Linked DNA regions of Astyanax mexicanus. The protein of the gene in region 2 purifies or fractionates together with the protein of the main gene of each other region. This does not show direct contact. Links are inferred from orthologs where the notes say so. Each region holds a gene or a part of one and is shown on either strand. Other genes may lie near its edges. The genes, in order: nifk and rrs1.

What was found.
Region 1: the proteins of rrs1 (region 2) and nifk purify together in Homo sapiens (affinity purification with mass spectrometry; 3 studies listed by BioGRID and IntAct, counting the BioPlex papers as one, with this or other methods). This does not show direct contact. The link is inferred for Astyanax mexicanus from reciprocal best matches to the Homo sapiens genes RRS1 and NIFK.

What each region holds. Positions count from the first base shown.
Region 1 is NC_064418.1:8,215,290-8,226,097, forward strand, and holds the start of nifk (MKI67 FHA domain-interacting nucleolar phosphoprotein), read right to left. Parts: upstream 3,870-10,808; 5' UTR 3,478-3,869; coding exon 3,364-3,477; intron 2,540-3,363; coding exon 2,417-2,539; intron 2,187-2,416; exon of another isoform or gene 2,060-2,186; intron 1,976-2,059; coding exon 1,867-1,975; intron 1,751-1,866; coding exon 1,539-1,750; intron 1,437-1,538; coding exon 1,377-1,436; intron 1,314-1,376; exon of another isoform or gene 1,187-1,313; intron 493-1,186; coding exon 292-492; 3' UTR 1-291. Other genes in the region: si:dkey-219c10.4 (high affinity cGMP-specific 3',5'-cyclic phosphodiesterase 9A), read left to right, coding at 5,248-5,335, 6,305-6,466, 6,592-6,643, 6,732-6,834, 7,379-7,521, 7,618-7,677, 9,199-9,376, 10,218-10,340.
Region 2 is NC_064408.1:97,453,942-97,464,250, reverse strand, and holds rrs1 (ribosome biogenesis regulatory protein homolog), read right to left. Parts: upstream 4,942-10,309; 5' UTR 4,904-4,941; coding exon 3,848-4,903; 3' UTR 2,084-3,847; downstream 1-2,083. UniProt on the Homo sapiens protein: Involved in ribosomal large subunit assembly. May regulate the localization of the 5S RNP/5S ribonucleoprotein particle to the nucleolus.

The DNA.
Region 1 (10,808 bases), on a different chromosome or scaffold from region 2:
GCTCTAGTCTGCTTTACACAAAGCAAAGCAACTAAATGCTAAACCACAGCCAGAACAGAGCCACACATATATATAACATCTGCATTACAAGCAAATGTAATGCACAATATATGCACAAATGCTGAAACAGTTCCTCAAGTCTCAATGAGGGCATCAGCTGTGCGTTTTCTCTATCTGTCCATCTGTGTGATGAACTGAGAAAGTCTTATATACAAATCATGAAAGCTTAGTAGTTTAGGAAGATGTTTCTCCCCAAAGAACTAATACAGTCCTAAAGAACAGAAGAGAGGTTCAACCCTCCACATCATCCGATGCTCCCTCTGCTTCTGCCTGTTCCTCTTCTTCCTCCTCAGTGTCCTCTTCACAGCCTTCAACATCTTCACTCTTCACCGACTGTGTTTTGAGGACAATCTCATCATCAACGTCATCATCCTCTACTCTTATTGACTTTCTTCTCTCCAGGATTGAAGGGGTACATACTGGGGTGGCGTCCTGTAAAACAGACAAATCATTAATCAAATATTCTGCTGAACTGTTACAAATTAAATCCAATATTTCTGATAATTTTATGACCTAAACAATGCCATATTACATGTATTTGAGGAACAATACACACAATCCAATTAGTCATGCACCGATGTATTTATTTTCATTCGGTGTCATTTTATTCTGATTTTCCTAACTTTACATTTTCTTTTGCCAGTATAATTTGTTATACAAATTAAATATAATTTAATTTAAATTGTTATACAGAGTCCTGATCTGAGACTTTGGGAAATAAAAAAAAAATCAATCATGACCTTTACTAGGATTAATTATTGATGGTAATTCTGGTTATGTTTCATTTGTGAGACATTTTTTGTTTATTTAAGAAGAGATGGATATTTAAATGGAAAGAAAAAATAAATACAGCTATGTAGTTAAGGTTTATTTTGTGACAAATTACTGTATTGATTGTTATTACATCTGTGTAATTCAACATGGAACAATGGCAGACAGTGCATTTGTTTATAGCTGTAGTAAATATCTGGGAAATGTAGGTGATACTGCACCTTCAGAGCGGTTTGGTTCAAACTTAAAGGTAAACCAAAGATCAATTTAACCAGACTTAAAAATGAAGGTGTTAAAAACACCATAATATGCTAACATACATAATGACAGGATAAGTAGGAACACATAAGCAGTAGGGTGTAGGCACATGGGTTTCATTGTGCAGCTATATAAGCTGACAATAAGCTAAATGTACCAATTTTATGTTGGCACAGTTATCTTACTCCAGAAAACTAAGACAACTGGAGTAATTTTCAGACTGTGCCTTGAAATATGTTTCTTTACATCATTAAACATCTCTATAATTGTTCCACATCAGAGCTCACCTCACTACAGACTGATGTGTCAGCACCTGACTGAGCTTTCTTCGCAGGAACTTGAGCTGCCTGTAAAAGAACAGAACAAAAAGTGTAGCAGCATTATTGATTTAGTCCAACACGCAAAATATACGAAATGTTATAAGACATATAGAAAACAAGAAAACTTACGAATCCTGGAAAGTCATAGTCAATGCCCTTCTCTGCCAGTCTCTTGCGAAGCTTGGATTCTTTTCTTAGAAGTTTCCCTGTAACTTTCTTCAGATCTTCTGAGCTGTGACTTTTATTGTACCGTGCAACTGCAGGAAGTCTGGGCTTTTTAAAAATCCTCTGAGAACCAACAAAAAGTTTTTCATGGACCTTCTCTGGAGGAATCAGGTGACCTGTTCAAAATATTATATTATAAGTAAACAAGACATTTTAACACTGGCATTATACTGCACCACCGTAACAAAGAAAAAAACAAAAAAAACAAATTAAATTAATTTACTTTACTCACATTTGATCAGCCTCTCCCCAATAAGGTAGTTGTTCATGGTCTCAGCCACAATCTTGGCAACCTCATCACAGTCAAACTCCACAAAGGCATAGCCTTTACTCCGGCCAGTCTAAGAATGAAAAAGAGCAAGATCAGTCAAAATTATTTAATCAATTGTGATTGACACAGCTGCAGAAACATCCACAGCTTTTTAGCCTGTAGGCACATGGGTTTCATTGCACAGCTATATCATCTGGCAATAAGCTAAATGTACCACGTTTCTGTTGGCACAATTATCTTACCCACAGCAACGGCCATGCTGAAGGTAATTTTCAGAATATGCCTATATCCAGAACCCTACTACTATTTACCTATTCATCTTATTTAACTTCTTTTATCATCTCCTTAGGACACAATAAGGAAATTAAACACATTTACACATTTTATCTCAGTCTGAAATGAATTATTTCTAGAAAACATGACCCTTCATGCATACAATCAAAGTAAATATTACTACAATAAAAATAAATAAATAAAGGAAACCTGTTTGAATTAAAAAAAAAAAGTTCACCTTTTTACTTCTGGACAATCGTAACCTTGTAACTTTGCCAAACTGTGAAAAGTAAGGTCTAAGCTGCGGTTCAGCCAAGGCCTGGGGAATGTGGCCCACATATACCACTCCAGGCTTCAGGGTCTGAGAGGAAAAACAGAACAGGAGGGTTAAACAAGACACATACAATCAAACATAAATGGCTACATAAACTACGGTTAAATACGGTTAGATCCTTAAGGAACTTTTTTGCGGTTAATCCAACCCTAACAAACCTATGGAAGCTGCACAATGAATATTTTTAGAATTTACATGGCTATTGAGACCTCCCACAACACACACACACACACTTTTTGTAATATCTCTATTGTCAGTGTATAGTTTATGACGCACCATAACAGGTAAAGCTACATAAAATGAACAGAAAAAATCTGATTTACACTAAATACTCTGAATTATAACAATTAAAGTTAATACATACAAAATAAATAAGTATGGATGAGTTACATTATTTTGTTTCCTAAAACAAAACCAATATGGCAGATTTTCATATTTGTCCGGTAAAATAATGTTAGTAGGTTGATAAAATGAAAATAAAAATAATTGTTTTAAACAATATAGCCTCAGTAACAATAGAAAACGCATTAAAAGGACAATGCAATAACGACAACACCGTGTCATAGAGAATTAAAACTAATTTTTTGAAGGTCCTGAGAAAGGTTTGTAAGCACTTAACAGGGCTAAAGCTAATTTACCACGTGTTCCACATGTTAAAGTGCATTGAATTTATAATACACGAGGATTAAAGGGAAAAAACAGAAAATCAGTCACACTGGTAGTTTCATCATGACACAAACAGAGCAGATTTAAACATTTTACTGATATCTCACACAGTCCTCACTCATTAACTCTCAGCAATAACACTGCTGCTCTACAGCATGAGGATTAGTAGAGTGTAGCATAGTTACCGCTCTGGGGCGACCCTTCACTTGCTGGATTTTCTTCTGAAACTCGGCGTCCTCCGCGGGGTTCAGGGCGAGCAGCTTCGGGCTGGTCTTGGAGGACTTCTTGCCCTCAGTCATGATTAATATAAACACAGCTCAAATACAGAAAAAAACTATACAACTACACTTACACACACAGCCCGCTGCTTCGCCACCAACCACGTTTCTACTGAGGAAGAACAGCAGCGTAACACATGGCGGAAAACCGGAAATATTTCACAATAAAAGTCCCCCATCGACTCAAATACTGAAATACAGAGACCCCATCTGGAAAGGAGGACTCTGCACAAAGCACTGTCCTCTAAAATCAGCTCATTTGGTCATATACCGTGCCTAGTCAAATAAAATAAGTCGCCACCTGGATTAAACCAAGGATCAATTATGTGGGGTTGGGTTGCTGCAGTTGGTTAGGTCTGGGTTCAGCAACAGTATGTGCTGAAAGAATGAGGTCAGCTGACTACCTGAATATACTGAATATAGACCAGGTTATTCCATCAATGGATTTTTTCTTATAAGAGTTTGGTTTGTTACAAACGGCAGAGATGTAATAATGATACATGGCACTGTCACACATTATAAATATGTGATTTTATGCTGAAATACTTTGTATTATGCTCTTTATTAAACTCTGTTCAGTTAAATAATCTCAGTTCAGTTAAATAATGTTGTCAAATATAAAGCATAGGTTGAGATTTTGGTGTGTTGTTTTAATGATTTGAAAGTAAAACTAATGTGGTGTGCATGTATACTGCTGAACACGTTCTAGTCTGGTTATATTCTAGTGTCAGCAACTAGTGGGAGGGGTTCTGATAACAGTGTTGTTGTACTTTCCTGCATTCAGTTCATAACCAGTCTTTGTCTGGGGGTAGAGAGAGAGAGAGAGAGAGAGAGAATGTCTATTCAAACCTGGCCCTGTGTAAAAATGTATGTACATCTCTGCGGAAGGCTTTTTGAACAGATTTGTTATAATTACGCCACATTGGCCCAGGGCTTGTTGCTTCTGCCATCTTTTAGGATTTTCTCTCTCTCTCTCTCTATATATATATATATATATATATATATATATATATATATACATGTACTGGCAAATTCATGTACTGGCTCTATTCATGTACTGGCTCTTAAAATGTATATTGTATGTATATTCTAATAATATCTGTACCAGAACCTTAAATATTAGTTTGATATATACATATATATATATATATATATATATATATATATATATATATTCTGGTACAGATATTATTAGAATATACATACAATATACATTTTTAAGTGTAACAAATAAATGTCTTTTACACTGTTTATACAAATACTACTATAGTATATCAAACTCATAAATTATCCACTAAAACATACAGCATTCTGTCAAATGTATTAGCTGATACTATTGTTACGGACCCTGTTATGCAGAAATTGCTATTTTGATATTCACTGGCATTGTCAATTGGTACTGTAAATACAGTATTTTCCAGTGTAAACAGTATATACTAGTATTATCAAGCATTTTAATTGCTTTTGTCATGTAAAAGTCATTACTAGTTAAGACACAACATACAGATTGTTCAACCACATTTAGTAAAATGATAGATTGAAACTACTCGCCAATGTTAACTAAGGACTTATTACAGACACTATACATTAGACAGTATACACAGATTTAAAATGGAACATAAACAAGACGGTGCAGCCCAGTCCAGGTGGTTAAGAAAGGAGAGAGGGATGGCAGTAGAGGAGGAGGGACAGGAGAGGAGGAGGAGTTGTGAAGTGGCCCTCTGTTAAATAGATGTCACACTGTAAACAGATCATTCAGCTGCAGGAAGTGAGGGAGAGTCAGCATCTGGCATGGAATCTAAAATCATTTATTTTACAGTGAACGGAAGACCAGAGCAAGCAGAGTTCCCTGTTGACTGTCCTGCACAGGATGTCAAAGGTGAGGACACATTTAATTCATTTATTTATTTAGAATTATTGAAGGTTGTTTTATAAATAATAACGTAATGAAGTGGAGCGAAGGTCGAACCGTAGTTTGGAAGAAATATCATTAAATGTCAGGCAAATTCATGTACTGGCTCTTATTGCTATAAATGTGATGACGTGAGCAGGACTATGATGAGAATTTATTTAGAATTGTCAATTAGGCTGAAAGCATAAAAAACATGTAGTATCCAGCTTTATATATAAATTTCATCTGTACCTGTATTGATGTCCTCAGTGTTTTCCTATTTTCCTATCCTAGAAAGAAAGAGAAATAGTAAGAAAGACAGAAAGAGAAAGACAGAGCGAGAGAGTGGGAGAAAGTAAGAAAGAGAGTAAGAGAGAAAGAGAGAGAGAGAGATCTTGTTGAAGAGAATGGGCCACAGGTGGAGCTGACAAGGCTCTGCATCAAGTGCACAACATACTTCATGGTGTTCTCCTCAGAACTGGAGTCACATCCACGTTCACGTGGGTTCTAGACAGATTCAAACACAACATAAGACACTGCTCACAATTGGTCAATTAATGTGTGTACACTTTAAGTATCAGGATATGTCTGAAAAAGGCCAAGCCAGATACATATGAAGTGTAGCTTACCCAAGACATATTTAAAACAGATACAAACCTAATTAATCAAACCACTTTAGGGGGTAGAGTGAGACATATTTTTATTTTATTTGTATCACTTTGATTCTGAAGCTGTTTTTTTAAGGTAAAAACACTGATATATATAGTGTTGTTTTAACACAAGATTAAATGTCTTTGAAAAATACCAGAAAAATATAGTTTGGAAATGGATGGGTTGGAAATTTCCTTCTCAACAGAATTGGGATTTGTTTTGGCAGCAGCTATATAATCTTTAGTAAATATACAGTACATATGACCCTTTCCCAGCCTTGTGTGTGTGTAAATGTTTCTCCTACAGATCTGTTCCGATCAGCAGCTGAAGCTGGGCCTCACGATATCCTAAAGCTCTACAACCCCAAAGGCAACATCATCAACATCTCCCCTCAGCTGACCCCAAACAGCCCTCATTCCTGCTACAAGCTGGAGGTGGTTGCTGCAGACTGCAACAGTGAGCCATTAGGTATTCTCTGAATTAAAACTGGAGACAAGCTGGTGAACTGCAGAACTAGCTGTCCTTCATGATTGAAATGACAATATGGAGAAAATTCACTCATATGAGAAATCGATTGCTGTGATATGTTTCAGGTACAGAGCTGGCAGTGGCCTTGGGCTTCGATTTGTCCTCCATGGAGAAAAGGTAGACATACTGTGTGTATAATCTGAGTCCACATATTGTCAGACATGTACTTTTTAAATAAACTTAGAAAGTACACTTTCTCAACCAGGTTACAAAGCCTGGAGAAGAAGATTCTTACTGAAGCTAGTGAGACTCCGGCCATTGTTTATGAGATGAAGAGACAGGTGGAGTCGTTCCGGGAAAAACTGGAGGTAAACTCATATCTGTACATATATCTGGAAATGTCTTTCTTTGGCCAATATTTATCTAAAGTGATCAATTCAACCATAATCATTTAAATGGTTTGACAGACTAGTAAACCATAGCTTCCATTTGCACCATCCAAAATCAATCCAGTTACAATAAAGTTTCCCACAAATGTAAAGAACTCCAACCAGGCAAAGAACCATTTCCACTTTGAAAAGTCTTGGATATGTAAAGACATATTTAATTTGACATAATTTTCATCCCAATTTAGTCTTTTCAAAATACTTTCCCATGGTTAGGCCTCCACTATTACATGATGCTACCAAACTGTGTAGATACACACAGTTTGCATAATCTGCATAGAGCAGCATTGCCCATTGCCACACAGTTATTTCTATGTATAAGTAATGAGTAAATAAAAAATGAAATGTAGGCCCCGTCCAGGCCTTTAGGAGTTTAATCCAGGTCTATGCAATTCTTTTACCATTTTAAATGAAATCACCCTTTTCTTTCTGCCTGGTTGTGTTTATAAGTTTCTGTTCTCTTTAGAGTGTGGAGCACCTGAGCTGGCTGGGGCTGTTTAAAGAACTCTCAGAGAGACCCCATAAACCTTCACCGTTCTACCATAAGAGAACGCTGCGCAAGACACGTGAAGAGTGTGAGCACGTCCGGGAAAAGTTCCTCCAGATGAGGTGAGCTACAAATCTTCACTTTTAGTCCCTGCTCTGCAGCACTACGCAGAGTTTTTGGTTAAGTGAGTTTAACATTATTGAAATGTCTTCACACAGTACTCTGGAGGTCTCAGAGGAGGTGAGACAATACCTGAAGACACCCACCTTTGACAACTGGTGAGTTTAACTTAAACATCAACACAATTCAGCTTACAGTGAGGTGCAGGGAGGAGAACTGAGCTAGAAAGGGAAGGTAGGACATGACACCAAGGTACAGGATGAGATAGAACTGAGGTAGAGAGGGGAGGTAGGACATGGGACTGAGGTACATGGAGATGATGGGACTGAGGTACAGGGAGAAGATTAAACTGAGGTACAGGGAGGTGTGGAAAGGTGAGGTATGGGAAAGGAAATCATATTGTGAGAGCAATTCACTGAATAAATAACTCCAAAAGCAAAGTGAACAGTCTTGCTATCAGCATAGTCACAAGTGTGCACATAGTATAAATTATTTTACATTATATTTCACTATTTTTGGGACAATGATTTCCTATGACTTATTTAATAAAGGATGATTATATCCCTCTAGGCACAAGGTGCTAAAATATTAAACATCATTAGCCTATGTAAGTCCAACAAATGAGCTGAGCACCTGCTATAGCAAAATGAACATTCGCTGCAGAAGTGAAAGCGCAGCTCCTCTGCCGTGCATAAAGAGGCCAGAGGAGATTCAGTCCTTTCATCTGCCCAAAAGAACTCATATCAATATGAATGGTTGTTCCAGGGGCTTACAAATCAATAGCAGTCCTTCAGAACAGAGCACTCGGCTTCATGCTTTGAAGACTGTATTTATGCAGTGGTCTTCTGGATTAGTTTTTGAACCCAGGCCTTTCAGATTAACAAAACAGGGTTCTGCACGGATGCAAACACTGTTTGGACGTAAATGTGTGTCAGGTTTGTGTCTCTATCAAAGAACACTATTAAAGCCTGCTGGAGTGATAAAGGCAATGCGTGAAGGGGACAAAAACATGAACATCTTAGCTCGTGCAACTTCAATCAGAATGCAGGAATCAAAGCATCATGTTGTGGTCAGGACTAAAAATGATAAGAAAAGAATGATCCTCCTCACATACAGACATACAGAAAAACTGGGCAGCAAAACAAGTGGGGAAACCGGAAAAGCTTAAATTTCATGAAGTAACGTTAGATCGTAGGTTTTTATTTTGTTATTAATCACAAGGTTATGGATTTAATACCCATGTCCACTAAGTGGCATTATGAAAATAACAAGATTTTGGAAGGAGGAACATGTTTGAAGCCTGTTAATCTTATTTCCTATAAAATACAATCCTTTTCTTGCTTACATGTTCATAACCAACACATCTCCTCCCTTTTACTAATATTTTTCTCTACTGATGCCCCTCTTTTCTGTCTCCACCAATCAAAAGCTTGTTACTAAACATAACTGTAATTTCTTATATAATTAAAATTTTTGCTTTGGTTTTTAATCATAATCTGTAACATTTCCATAATTGCCCTTGGTAAAATGACACAACAAACTAACCATACATTTACTACATACAATTTAAAAAAAATTTTTTGCATCAAAATCCAATTTTTGCAGCATTTTTAGCTCATCAGATAATTCATTAATCATCTAATGTCCATACAGTGTGAAAAGCATGTCTCTGTGTTTAGGCAGTGGGAGGACGCAGAGATCATGGTGCTGCTTCAGGTGATGTATACAGACCTGGACTTCATCTCCACCTTCAACATAGAGCTGGACGTCCTGCAGCAGTTTCTCTATGAGGTCTACAAGCGCTACAACAACATCCCATTCCACAACTTCAAACACTGCTTCTGTGTCACTCAGATGGTGAGAGAGCATGAGAGAGAGAGAGAGAGAGAGAGAGAAAGGGATTGACATTGCAATCAGCTCAGCTTGACCACAAGTACTTCAATTGTCCACTCGACCTTCCAGGCATTAGTAAAGGGCATACTGCCTGATAGATAACTACTAGATAGCTACTGCTTGATTTGTGTTAAATATAGTCACAACAAAAAAGCATGGCTATTTTTGTTTATGGTTGATAGCAAACTAATACCTGATTAGGTGATGGTTTGGATTTCAAGGACGCAACTGATGTATCCTTCGCAGCCCATGGTTACTGACAATTCTCTGCACACATACAATGTGAAGGAGGAAAAAAACAGCACTATAAAAATGGGACTTATAATGAGCCACTGTCCCTCTCAATACAACTTTATTACTAAACAATATTTCTATTAAGTATTAGGATCAATAATCAAGATTGATTTTAACAGAACTCATAATAATGGGTAATTGTAATATAATATAAAGACTGGTTGACTAATGATCCCCAATGGATTAAGAAGGTGAAATGCAGACTTGTGTAAAATCTTTGGAACCTCAAATTATTTGAATTAAAAAAAAAAAAGTCTAAAAATTAGGGTCTGAGAAAAGTATGGATAAAGACGCGAGTGTAAAAACACCAAACATGAATACGATTCTTTTCATTCAGACCATCTTAGTCTCAATAACTGGAAATGCCATTATCTTCCATGAGCAGTTTAAATGCATGTGGTCAGAATCTTTTACAGGATACAATCCAGATACTACTCACATGAAGTAACCAGGTGTAAACAGGTTCCTAGTACACTGATCTCAGCATCAGGAGCTTTTTTTGTGTTGGTAGATGTATGGGCTGATATGGCTGACGGATCTGAGGAGCAAGATTGACAGTGTTGATCTCCTGATCATGCTGACTTCAGCTGTGTGTCATGATTTAGATCACACCGGCTACAACAACGCCTACCAGGTAAGAAATCCACTGTATTTTTTTTTCTAGAAATATTGTATTTTTCTGACTATAAGGTGCACTTAAAATCCTTTAATTTACCCAGAAATTGAGAGTGCGCCTTATAATCCAGTGCTTCTTATGTATGAATTTTACCAGTCAGGTTGTAAGGAGCTGTAAAGACACTCTCCTGAATTGCAGTGTTATAAGGGTGAGTTTTCAGTGAAGATTCTCCAGCACTAAGGTTGAGTGCAGCAGCATTAGCATTAGCCGCTAACCGCAGCGCTAGCTCTTTCGCTGTTCAGAAGTGAGTATATCGGTCTGTAGTTTGAGTGTTTGTCATATTAAAACAAGCTACGTGGGCTGAATCGCTAGCTGATAGAGCCCTAAGTTACTGGACCACTCAGCGTTCCTCAGTCTAGCATTATCAGGCAGCATTTACCTCGTACTAGTGCTGTGGTTAGCAGCTAATGCTAATGTTGCTGCACC
Region 2 (10,309 bases):
TTTTGATGAACTTATGAAAAACTATGGTCATTTATTTAGTTTGTTTTCCAATTTCTTATTATTTATTGTAATTAAATGAGCTGTTTTGATCAAGCCTTAGAGAGACTGAATAAAAATAAATAAGCTTTGTTCCTAGCTGCACTGTATTCCAGGCCAAATTGTTCCTTATAACATAACTGTGAAGAGCTGTACTGCTTTTGAATGCTTTTTATTCTACATTCAAGTTAAAACAAGGAATGGAGATGCAACTATAAAACTCTTTTTAAAAATAAGAATATTAACCCTACATGGCACAAATGTCTGCTGATGAATTGAGGTGTCCATCATGCATTGTGTTACTGTAATAGAGGCCATATTTGAAATTCAAAATAATGTATATAGTTATCATAATGCAAATTGCAATATGTAAAATGCAAATTAAGTATGTTTCACTGAGCAAGATAACTGAAAACCTGTTTTCATAAATAATCACATTTAACTGAAGTATCATGCTACGTCACAAATGAATATTAATATTTCCATGCTGCCTGGTGTAAAATATTTTTTTACAGTGCAAAAAAGAACATCAACACTTAAGCTTTTTATTACTATTTTTATCACTATTGTACATACGTTTTCTATATAATGTTCATGGTAAAATATTTATAAAAAATAAATCTGAGCACTAATTTGCTTTGCAGTACCCTGCCTGTACCTCTCCACCAAAAACGTTTTATAAAATATATTCAGACACAAAGCCTCACATCAGAACTAACATAAACACACTTAACTTAATTTACAACTTATCAATTTAATTACGTAAGAATGCTGGAAAATCAATGGCATTTCCCTCTTTAGATGTAAAGTTCCTCTGACTATTTCTGATCTTCGCGTCCCAGGACAGTGATGAAGGGAGAGGATGTGGAGTATTGTTTGTGTCGAGCAATCAGTAAACAATAGGTCTGACTGTCTGAATGAATCCAACAGCCTGCTGACCTCATTGCTGCACTAAAGACCTACAAGACCTATAAATTACACCCTTATCTTCAGCACAATTAAACCAGCTGCTAATCCTCACGCAACAGAGCAAGAACATGGTCATGCTCTTCTGCAGCATTCAGAGAAAGCCTCTCATGCAGCCTAATTTACCACCTTACCCCCCCCCCCAAAAAAAAATAAAAAAAAGGACAGAAAATCTTTATTATTGCTTTGTTTAGGAAAATGCAACAAATTTCCTTTTCTGGATTAAAGGCTTTGTTAACCAATGCCACTGACACTGACGTCAGAGCTATAATCACACAAGAGGGCACTAAAATCTATATATATTTACTTATTTTATTTGACCCAACGACTATATGTAGATTATTAACTAAGTCTGTCATAATAACTATATGTTGTGACTGTATTTTGTCCTATAAATAAATGTGATCAATAATATTGCCTTTTGAAGACCATTTGATGTCACTGATACAATAACATAATAACATAATAATGCATTTACATTCTTTTAAAGAGCAAAAAACTTAATTATTTAGATAATTTCAACATTAATATTGCAATATCCTATAATTTATATATTCTAAATACATATAAAATAAACAGTCAACATTCTGGCTTATTCAGGTTAATGGATCCTTCTTGCTAAGAAAAACATAATAGACTGAACAAAGGTCAGCAAAATAGTGATCATGCCCATACAGTCGATGATGTAATTATCTTGACAGGCCAACTGTTACCTAGTTTCTTTAAAGCCTCAATTAGTATATTTACCCACTTTGGCATACACCCTGCAGGCACTGCCAGTGCCCAAGATCCTCTCACTGCTGGCACTATCTTTGTCATTTATGCAATAGGCTGTGTACGTAATCTGAAAACCAGAATAAGGGAGGTCCATTTCTAGGAAAGTGTTTTGTTAGACATGGACACTAAACAAAAACTCATTTTAGCCGTATCATTATTTTCTTACCAGTGAAATTTAAAATAATGAGAGACACTAGAAGAGAAGCTACAAAACAATACAAGGAAAAATATCTAGATAACTAAAGAAAATAAATAACTCTTACACCCAATCAGACTGATGTAAACAAACCTTCAGAACAGGATACAGCATTAAACAAAATTTTCATATTATAACATTTATTCAAGAAAGCTTTATCAAAAAACTTGCAGTGCAGTGTTTAAAGACCCAACAGGCAAGTGAAATCAAGGGCACTGATGCTCCAAATGTGTTTGGAAAACCAACATCATCACAAATAATATGCGTGTAATACATACACAGGCATGGTTACAATGACAACACTCCACTTCTTGTTTTCAGGTTGCACAGACTTGTTATGCACACACACAAAAAAAAATATTTTTGCTAGCCATACACCTTACAGGCTGAGACCGTCCAATAGGATTGTATCAGTTCTGACTGTTACGGTTTGCATGACTTAAATTAGTATGTGTTTCGCACAGTTCAATTATAATGTATTTATTAATTATATATATATATATATATATATATATATATATATATATATGGTTTGTTATTAATTTTGCACTAGTTATAGTAGGTCACTACTGTCAGACTAATGTCTTATGGCTGCACTGGAGCATTTTGGAGGGTGACGTCTTAACACACAAAATACCTGGTCAACATCAAATACAAGGCACTTTTAATCAAGTACTGCCAAGCCATTACTGTCCAGCCACCGGTCAAAAATGGTAAGAGTAAATGCATTAATAAAAAACAGGGTCTCTCAAACAGTTCTACAGGAATCCTCAATAACATTCAGAATGGAAATGCAAAAATTGGTGGTTAAAGGAGGTTAAAGCCCCATGAACTGGTGGTTTTTGGTAGAATATAGGCCCTAGTTACTTTTCTCAGCATATCATAGACATGCTTACACTAAACAACAGCAAGTTTTACTAAACAACAAAAAATATTTTAACTCTTAGGCCGGAGGTAAAGACTGTTTAGAAGGACTGCCTTCAACACTGATCTTATTAGATAGATCTGACTTGGGCTTATTATCTGCTAAATGTCCATTCTTTTTTAAACATATAAATCAAATCACTGGAGAAAATCACAGAATGGATGAAAATGAAAGCATGGGTGTAAGGGTGGGTGAGCCGTAACCCATCATGCGTTAGAGAAACAACTACAAACAGAGATACTGGTGATGCACCTTGAAAATATATAGTTTTAAAATGACACTTGTGCATATTAGAGCAGAGAAAACACCAAGCTGTACTGGTGAGTTGAAACTTTGTTGTAACTCAAGGTGGCACCAGAGTGTCACTCCTGTGTGGAACACCACATGGCCTAATGTGATCAGTAATAGTCAGATGTCCATCTCAGTTCACATAAACACAAAGTCCAAGCTACAAAACAATACAAGGAAACATATCTAGATAACTAAAGAAAATAAATAACGCTTACTCCCAATCAGACTGATGTAAACAAACCTTCAGAACAGGATACAGCATTAAACAAAATTTTCATATAACATTTATTCAAGAAAGCTTTATCAAAAAACTTGCAGTGCAGTGTTTAAAGACCCAACAGGCAAGTGAAAACAAGGGCACTGATGCTCCAAATGTGTTTGGAAAACCAACAGATCACAAATAATATGTGTGTAATACATACACAGGCATGGTTACAATGACAACACTCCACTTCTTGTTTTCAGGTTGCACAGACTTGTAATGCACACAAAAAAATATATTTTTGCTAGCCATACACCTTACAGGCTGAGACCGTCCAATAGGATTGTATCAGTTCTGACTGTTACGGTTTGCATGACTTAAATTAGTATGTGTAATGTGATCAGTAATAGTCAGATGTCCATCTCAGTTCACATAAACACAAAGTCCATTACAATCAGCGCTTCCCCTGTTTCATATGAGGGCCTCGCCCCTTGCCTTTGGTGCTTCTGGCGCCTTTGCCACCTTTAGAGCCTTTGGCACCCTTTCCTTTTCCTCCAGCAGCACCTCTCTTTCCTCGGTCTCCCTTCTTCCCTGACCCTTTCTTCCTTCTTGTTCGTCCTTCCTCCTCCTCATCCTCCCTCAACTGTTTGTTCACAGCTTTGGTCACGTCCAAGCGTGGCTTCTTGGTCTCCATCACCTTTAGCATCTCCAGCTGCTTCTGCTTCTCGTTCCCAAAGTCCCCGAGCAGAGGCTGGAACTTCCTCTTCTTGCCGGTGTGCCTCGGGGCTTTTTCCTTAGGCAGCCGGTCCTGGAACTTGCCAACCGAGGCTGTGGAGGTCCTGGCCACGCTGACGGCCTGAGCCAGCTCTGATTTGGATTGCTGCGCCCTGGGTGCGAGCCCCAGCCCGGCTACTGGTGTTTTGCTGGCCCGGGCGATGTTGCGCAGGCGGTTGAACTCGTTTTTAGCCACTCGCTCTTTCTTAGCCTTGTTCCTCTTGGCGAACTGGTCCTCGCTGGGGTCGGCGGTCTCCGGCACCTCGATCAGCCACTCTTTAGTGTCGTCTTTAGCCCGCTTGTAGCCCCAGCGCCTTCGCCACTCCTTGTGCACCTCGTCCCACACCAGATTGGTCTTCTTCTTCTTCTGGATGCCCTTCAGCTTGGCGAACTGCTCCCATTTCGTCGGGGGTCTCACCTTGGGCAGGGGCTTCTCTCGCGGCAGCTTGGTGCTGGCCTCGGGCAGCTTCACCACCAGCACGTCGTCCGTGCGCTCCGCCGGCAGCTTCCAGATCTCGTTCACCAGTAGCTGCACGTTGTCTCTCGCCAGTGCCCGCAGCAACTCCTCGCGGTCCTGACTCCGACCCCGTAGCTCCACCGGGTTCTTATCCAGAGCCAGCAGGTTCCCCACGTCGAACTCCAGCTCCAGCTCTTTAACCACGCTGATGCTCTTCAGCCGCTCCGCCTCGTCCCGCTCGGCTTTAGCCAGCACGTCTTCCACACTGCACGCCGCCATGCTGCTCTCTGCACGTGTCACAGCTCCGGCACCACAATTAGACGTCATCAGCTGTGTTACCAACTTTCTCACACTAACAGTTATAACCAAACAAAACAGGAAAGAAATCAGTAAAAATACTGTCACTGTGAACAGTAACACACTACTGTCATTGTGAAAAAATAAAATAAAATAAAAATAACTACTGTCATTGTAAACAAGTAGAAAAAATAAAAATATAAACTGTCCTTTTAAACAGTAAAAAAAAATACTGGCCTTGTGAACACTTAAAAAAATACTGTCAATTGGGGAAAAACAAATAAAAGAAAGGATTAAAACACTTTAAAAAATAAAGACAAGTACAGAGAAAATATTTCAGAAACCTCACACAAAACTAATTTTCAGCATGAAAGCGATTACCACATAAAAAATACAATAACATATATTTTATAACTATTAAAATGGTACACACATATAATAAGCCTCCACAAATGAGTAATTTTTAAATTACTATACAATTCGGAAACATGAATTATAGTCGTTATTATGATGTACATATCTTGTAAATATAATCGTAGTTTAATAATATTTGTTTGAGGGAAATCTACAATGCGCCATCTGCTGGATACTTTCATTATGATTTTTTTCACTCGCTTATTATTATTTTATTTTTTTTGTAAGCATACACTGATAAACATTTGCTAAAAGCACAGTAAAATTACAACATAAATTGCTAGGTCATGTAACTTTGAAGTTTATATAAGATATAAATCTGAACTACAAAACCCATACTTCAGTGCGGCACCGCTTCCTTGGAGGTTCGAGGCTGACGTCAGCCATGCGACAGATTTTGTAGTCCGCTTTGGGGAAACGCTCATCGAACAGTCACTCTCAAATGATTGTTTATTTTAGAACATGGACATAGTGAAAGATATACGAAATACTTAACGTTAATATTATTTTAAAACATGTGTTTTTCTTGGTTTCACTGGATGTCCTTAAACACTGTTTTAGGAATATGAGAAAAAATATATAATGAGAAAATTCCTGTCTCTACTACAATTAAATAATGTAAAAGAGATCAAACTTAAAGACAAATATAAGGGCATTTCAGCCTAAAACTAGTACGTTTTAATTATATTACTAATATACCTGTAATATTATGTGTTATGGTGATGCATTCAGTACTCAAAAAAAAAAAAACATAATTTTTTTCATTTGAGTTGAATGCCAAACCTGATCAAGCTAGTCAACCAGTGTGATTTTGATAAATGTGATGTCTACAGACCTGTTATTTCTAGACCTTTTCTTCATAAATCAACAGTTCACAGTAATTTGTCCCAAAGTTTTCTAAATGTTTCTCCCAGCTTTAAGATACATAATCAAAAAGGAGTTTCCTATACAAAGAGTGTGGCTCTAAACGGCAAGTAAGAACATTTGACTGACACAATTAAGAAACTGAGGACCTGTTTAATTGTAATATTAGTTTAAATCCACTGGGTGTCGCTGCTGCTTAAATTTCGCTCTTAGATGAAGAACCCGAGATGACTTCCAGCAAATGGACGAACATGAGAATATTAATATAATATTTTCTGTGATTTTTTCACACCTAAATCAGTATTAGGCACTTGATATATATATTTGATATGACTGTGAGACTATTAAACATGTTGTACTGTAGTCTGTAAAGGCCATGAATCTAAACTTTTCTGTTTTAACTGTGCTAATCAATTTGGAAGGTTCCAATGATTCATTAAACAACAGTAATTTGGCAGTATTTCCTCTAACTCTAAAATAGATAAACTGATTTCTGTTTGGTGTCTTAAGTTCTTTATTTTTTAACCGGAGCTATGAGATATATGAAAGACACTCAGTGAGTGGCACATACTTCTATTACTGCTACGTTATTCTTCAGTGTAAAACTAAAGAAATATTAGACACCAAACATGTCTAGGATGATTGGTTTTAAGGGAAAATCGTTCCTTATGTAAATCTGACAATGTATTCATTTAAAGCAATACTATAGCCCTATCCAGTTTTATTCCTGTCTGGAACAACCATGTATGTGTTTTTCTTAGATATAATGTGAGAAAATTACAGGCTGAATTACATACTGTTTTCCTCTGAACTCAGTGATTGTCCTGTAATTTTAGTTAAAGTAGAAGTAGAAAGCCCTGTCTGGACGAGATTAGCTTCTCAGGGGGATGTCTGTAAAAAATATGTTACACTTCTATTTAGTGATAAAACTCCTGCATCTGGACTGCAATAAAAAAAAAACAGGAGGTCCAGTGAGTTTTTAGGCTTTCACGGTCACATGACATCCCGTTCAGTAGCTCCTCTATTTCCACTGGCTGTTGTGTTTATGTGGATCTCTGTGGAAACGTGCGCCCAAAGTGTAATAGCGGTGTGTGGCAGTGGACAAATAGCTATTTTATTAAACCCAAGGAGATGAAACTCAGAGATGTGGATCCGGACAAGACTCAAATGACCGGAGGACCACGGAGTTCAGCAAAAAACAGCAGGTAATTCAGTCTGTAATTTTCTTAGAGGACGTCGGAGAAAAACGCGTACATGGTCATTCTAGACGGGAATAAAATCACAGAGGACTCCCATAAAAGAGAAAATTACCCAAGGACCCCCTGAAAAACGAGTGTTTTTTCACTGACTTGTATTATCAAGAATACAGTCTATCTATTTTTTGCTACTCCAGGCTTAACATGCTGCTAACTGCACTTTAATTCTGGTGAAGCAGGCAAAATTATGCTGGTTTTATTTGTGTAATGCTGTCATTTTTAGGTTATATTATGATAAATTAATTTACTTAATCAGTGCACATGCTTCTTGCATTTTCAGTGATCGTTCTGTATCTCTCAGCTTGTCCAGAAAAGCATGTCTATTAGGGGCTTTATTAAAAGTTAGGAAAGGATTTTTTTTCTTCCTGTAAATTGCAATTCTAGATGTCATGCTCTGTGCCTTTTTCTAAAAACAACCCAGGGTAAAACACCCCCTATAACTTCAGTGTGAATGTGTTGGAAAAAACAGACACAGGCGGAAAAAGCAGACATAGTACTGTATATGTCAGTGTTAAATACTGAATTCAGTTCTTTAGTAATGGAAATAAAAGTAAGACAAATGTGTTTTTCCCTACAATATGATACAGCTCTGGAAATAAAATAAGAGACCACGTAAAAATATAAATTTCTTTGATTTTAAAATTGAAAACCTCTGGAATAAAATTAAGAGGAAGATGGATGATCACAAGTCATCAACATCAAACCAAGCTAAACTGCTTGAATTTTTGGACCAATAGTGGCATAAAGTTATCCAAAAGCAGTGTGTAAGACTGATGGAGGAGAAAATGTTGTCCGTAGTTTAAAGAATAAAATAACAATGCTTATTTTAATCAAACATATACCTATAAATAGCAAAAAAAGGTAAACTGATTCAGAAACTGAAGTGGTCTCTTAATTATATAGCTTTATATACAATATATCTAGATTTGGTAGTTTGGTGAAATTTAATTGCACAACCTGAAGATGCCCTTTGAAATAAAATTGCTAATCGTTGGCACATGTTTTGGTCTAGGCCTGGCCTGAGTTGGAGAGTGAGTGCTGCCATTTGGATCCTCATTAAAGTCTATTCAGCACAGATACACCTAATTATTTCAGTCACGGCCGGAGAACAGAGGAACTTTGAAGAATCGTCGCCTGTCCCCCGGAGAATGCCCACAGAGGGCTTGTTGTGTGGACTTTGGGGCTACCGAGCGCTGATGTCGTCTTCTGTTTTCTCTGTGAGGACCTCTCCTCTCCTCATCAGTATGGACAGAGAGCTCTATTTTCTTCTTTAGCTGGAATGACGCACCTTTGACTGGTGTCTCCCAATAGACCTGGAGGGCAACAGTATGCTGAATAAAATTTCCATTCGGTGTGAATTATTAGAGCCGCGGCTAATAGTCCCTGCCCAGAAGAACTGTGGAATGCTGTGCTGTACCTTGAAAAGGTAATCAGTCTGTGTGATAATCAGATAGAAAGTAAATGAGAGAGTAATTCATAGAAGAAGAGGCACTTCCCGATTCATGGCTTTGAGGGCCTATTGCAAATCAACCCCTCATTTTGGCAGCAGTCGCAATGCAGATATCAAATCATTTATGAAGATTCCAGGCTGAAGAGATTCCTGCATTTTTGGAAGTAACACTTCCATGTGTGGATTCAATACACGCATGCTGCAATTACGTAACATCATACAAGACACTGCTCTGTGGATTCATGCAGCACAAAAGTCCATTTTTATTCAGAGCTAAAAGTGTTTCCATCTCATGTGAAATATGTCCTCGTGATGGTATTCAGAATAAATTGATGTGCTTTCATTTGCTGTGCAGACCTCAATGTAGTTAGAAGGTGCACCACACCAAGAACCTACTCCGCTCTTATGCTGATAAACATATTTATATGTTTCACTTCTCCAAACTCAATTTAGAGACTTTAGATGGGTTCATGTTTTAGAAGCAACCAAGAAAAAGCTTCTGCTCCATGATTGAAATTCACACTGACAGGCATATTCAAGCGTATGAAGGAACTCCCTGGTGTGTCAGATTGAGATATAAAGATTCACTTTTGCACATTTTCAAAACATGAACCATGTAACCTAGAAGCTGCCACACTGGGATTTCATTCTGATTGAAGGTCAGCGCATGTTGGGTAAGTTCAAGTGTATCACAGATGTTAAACAGAGAACAGAAAACTTATGTTTCCCCAAAGCATCAGGTGAGCTTCATAAATGTGAGATGAAGTTCTGAATAACCTTTAAAAGAACCTTTCCTCACTTCAATTTAGCCTCCCTCTGAAGAAAGCCTTTGTTTATACCTTCAAAAAGGTGACTTTACAGAAGAAATTGGTCTAACTTTTAATGGAAGTTAATGTAACAGTTTTACATTAAAGCAGAGCTGGAGAGTTATTTATTTTGACGCTGAAAGTTACACAATACAGACCAGACCCCCATCAAACTCTTAACTGTATTATCTCTACCTTCTGTCCCTGTCTCATCAGCATCATGCTGGCCAACCAGCTTGTTCATGCTGGTCAATCTTATTTGCAGTGTGGTTGCCATAAAAAAGCAGGCACAGCAATATAAGCATTTTATGATACAATATAATGAATCAGACACCGTCCAATCAGAATATCATGACCACCTGAAGATGACACATTTTCAATATACTAGCCAGGAATATTTTATCCATCTTTTGTTGGTTTATAGCAAAAAATGAACAGGTTTAGGTACACCTTTGTGGAAACGTTTTTTAACCTGTTCTTGCTTGCTAAAACTTTTAGTTCTGTAAAATTGTTGGTCTGTTTGGTTGCTTTAGCCACAGATGTTTGGTGATGTTTATGTTATGGCACTTTGAGGGCCAAGGCAAAATCCTTAACCTGT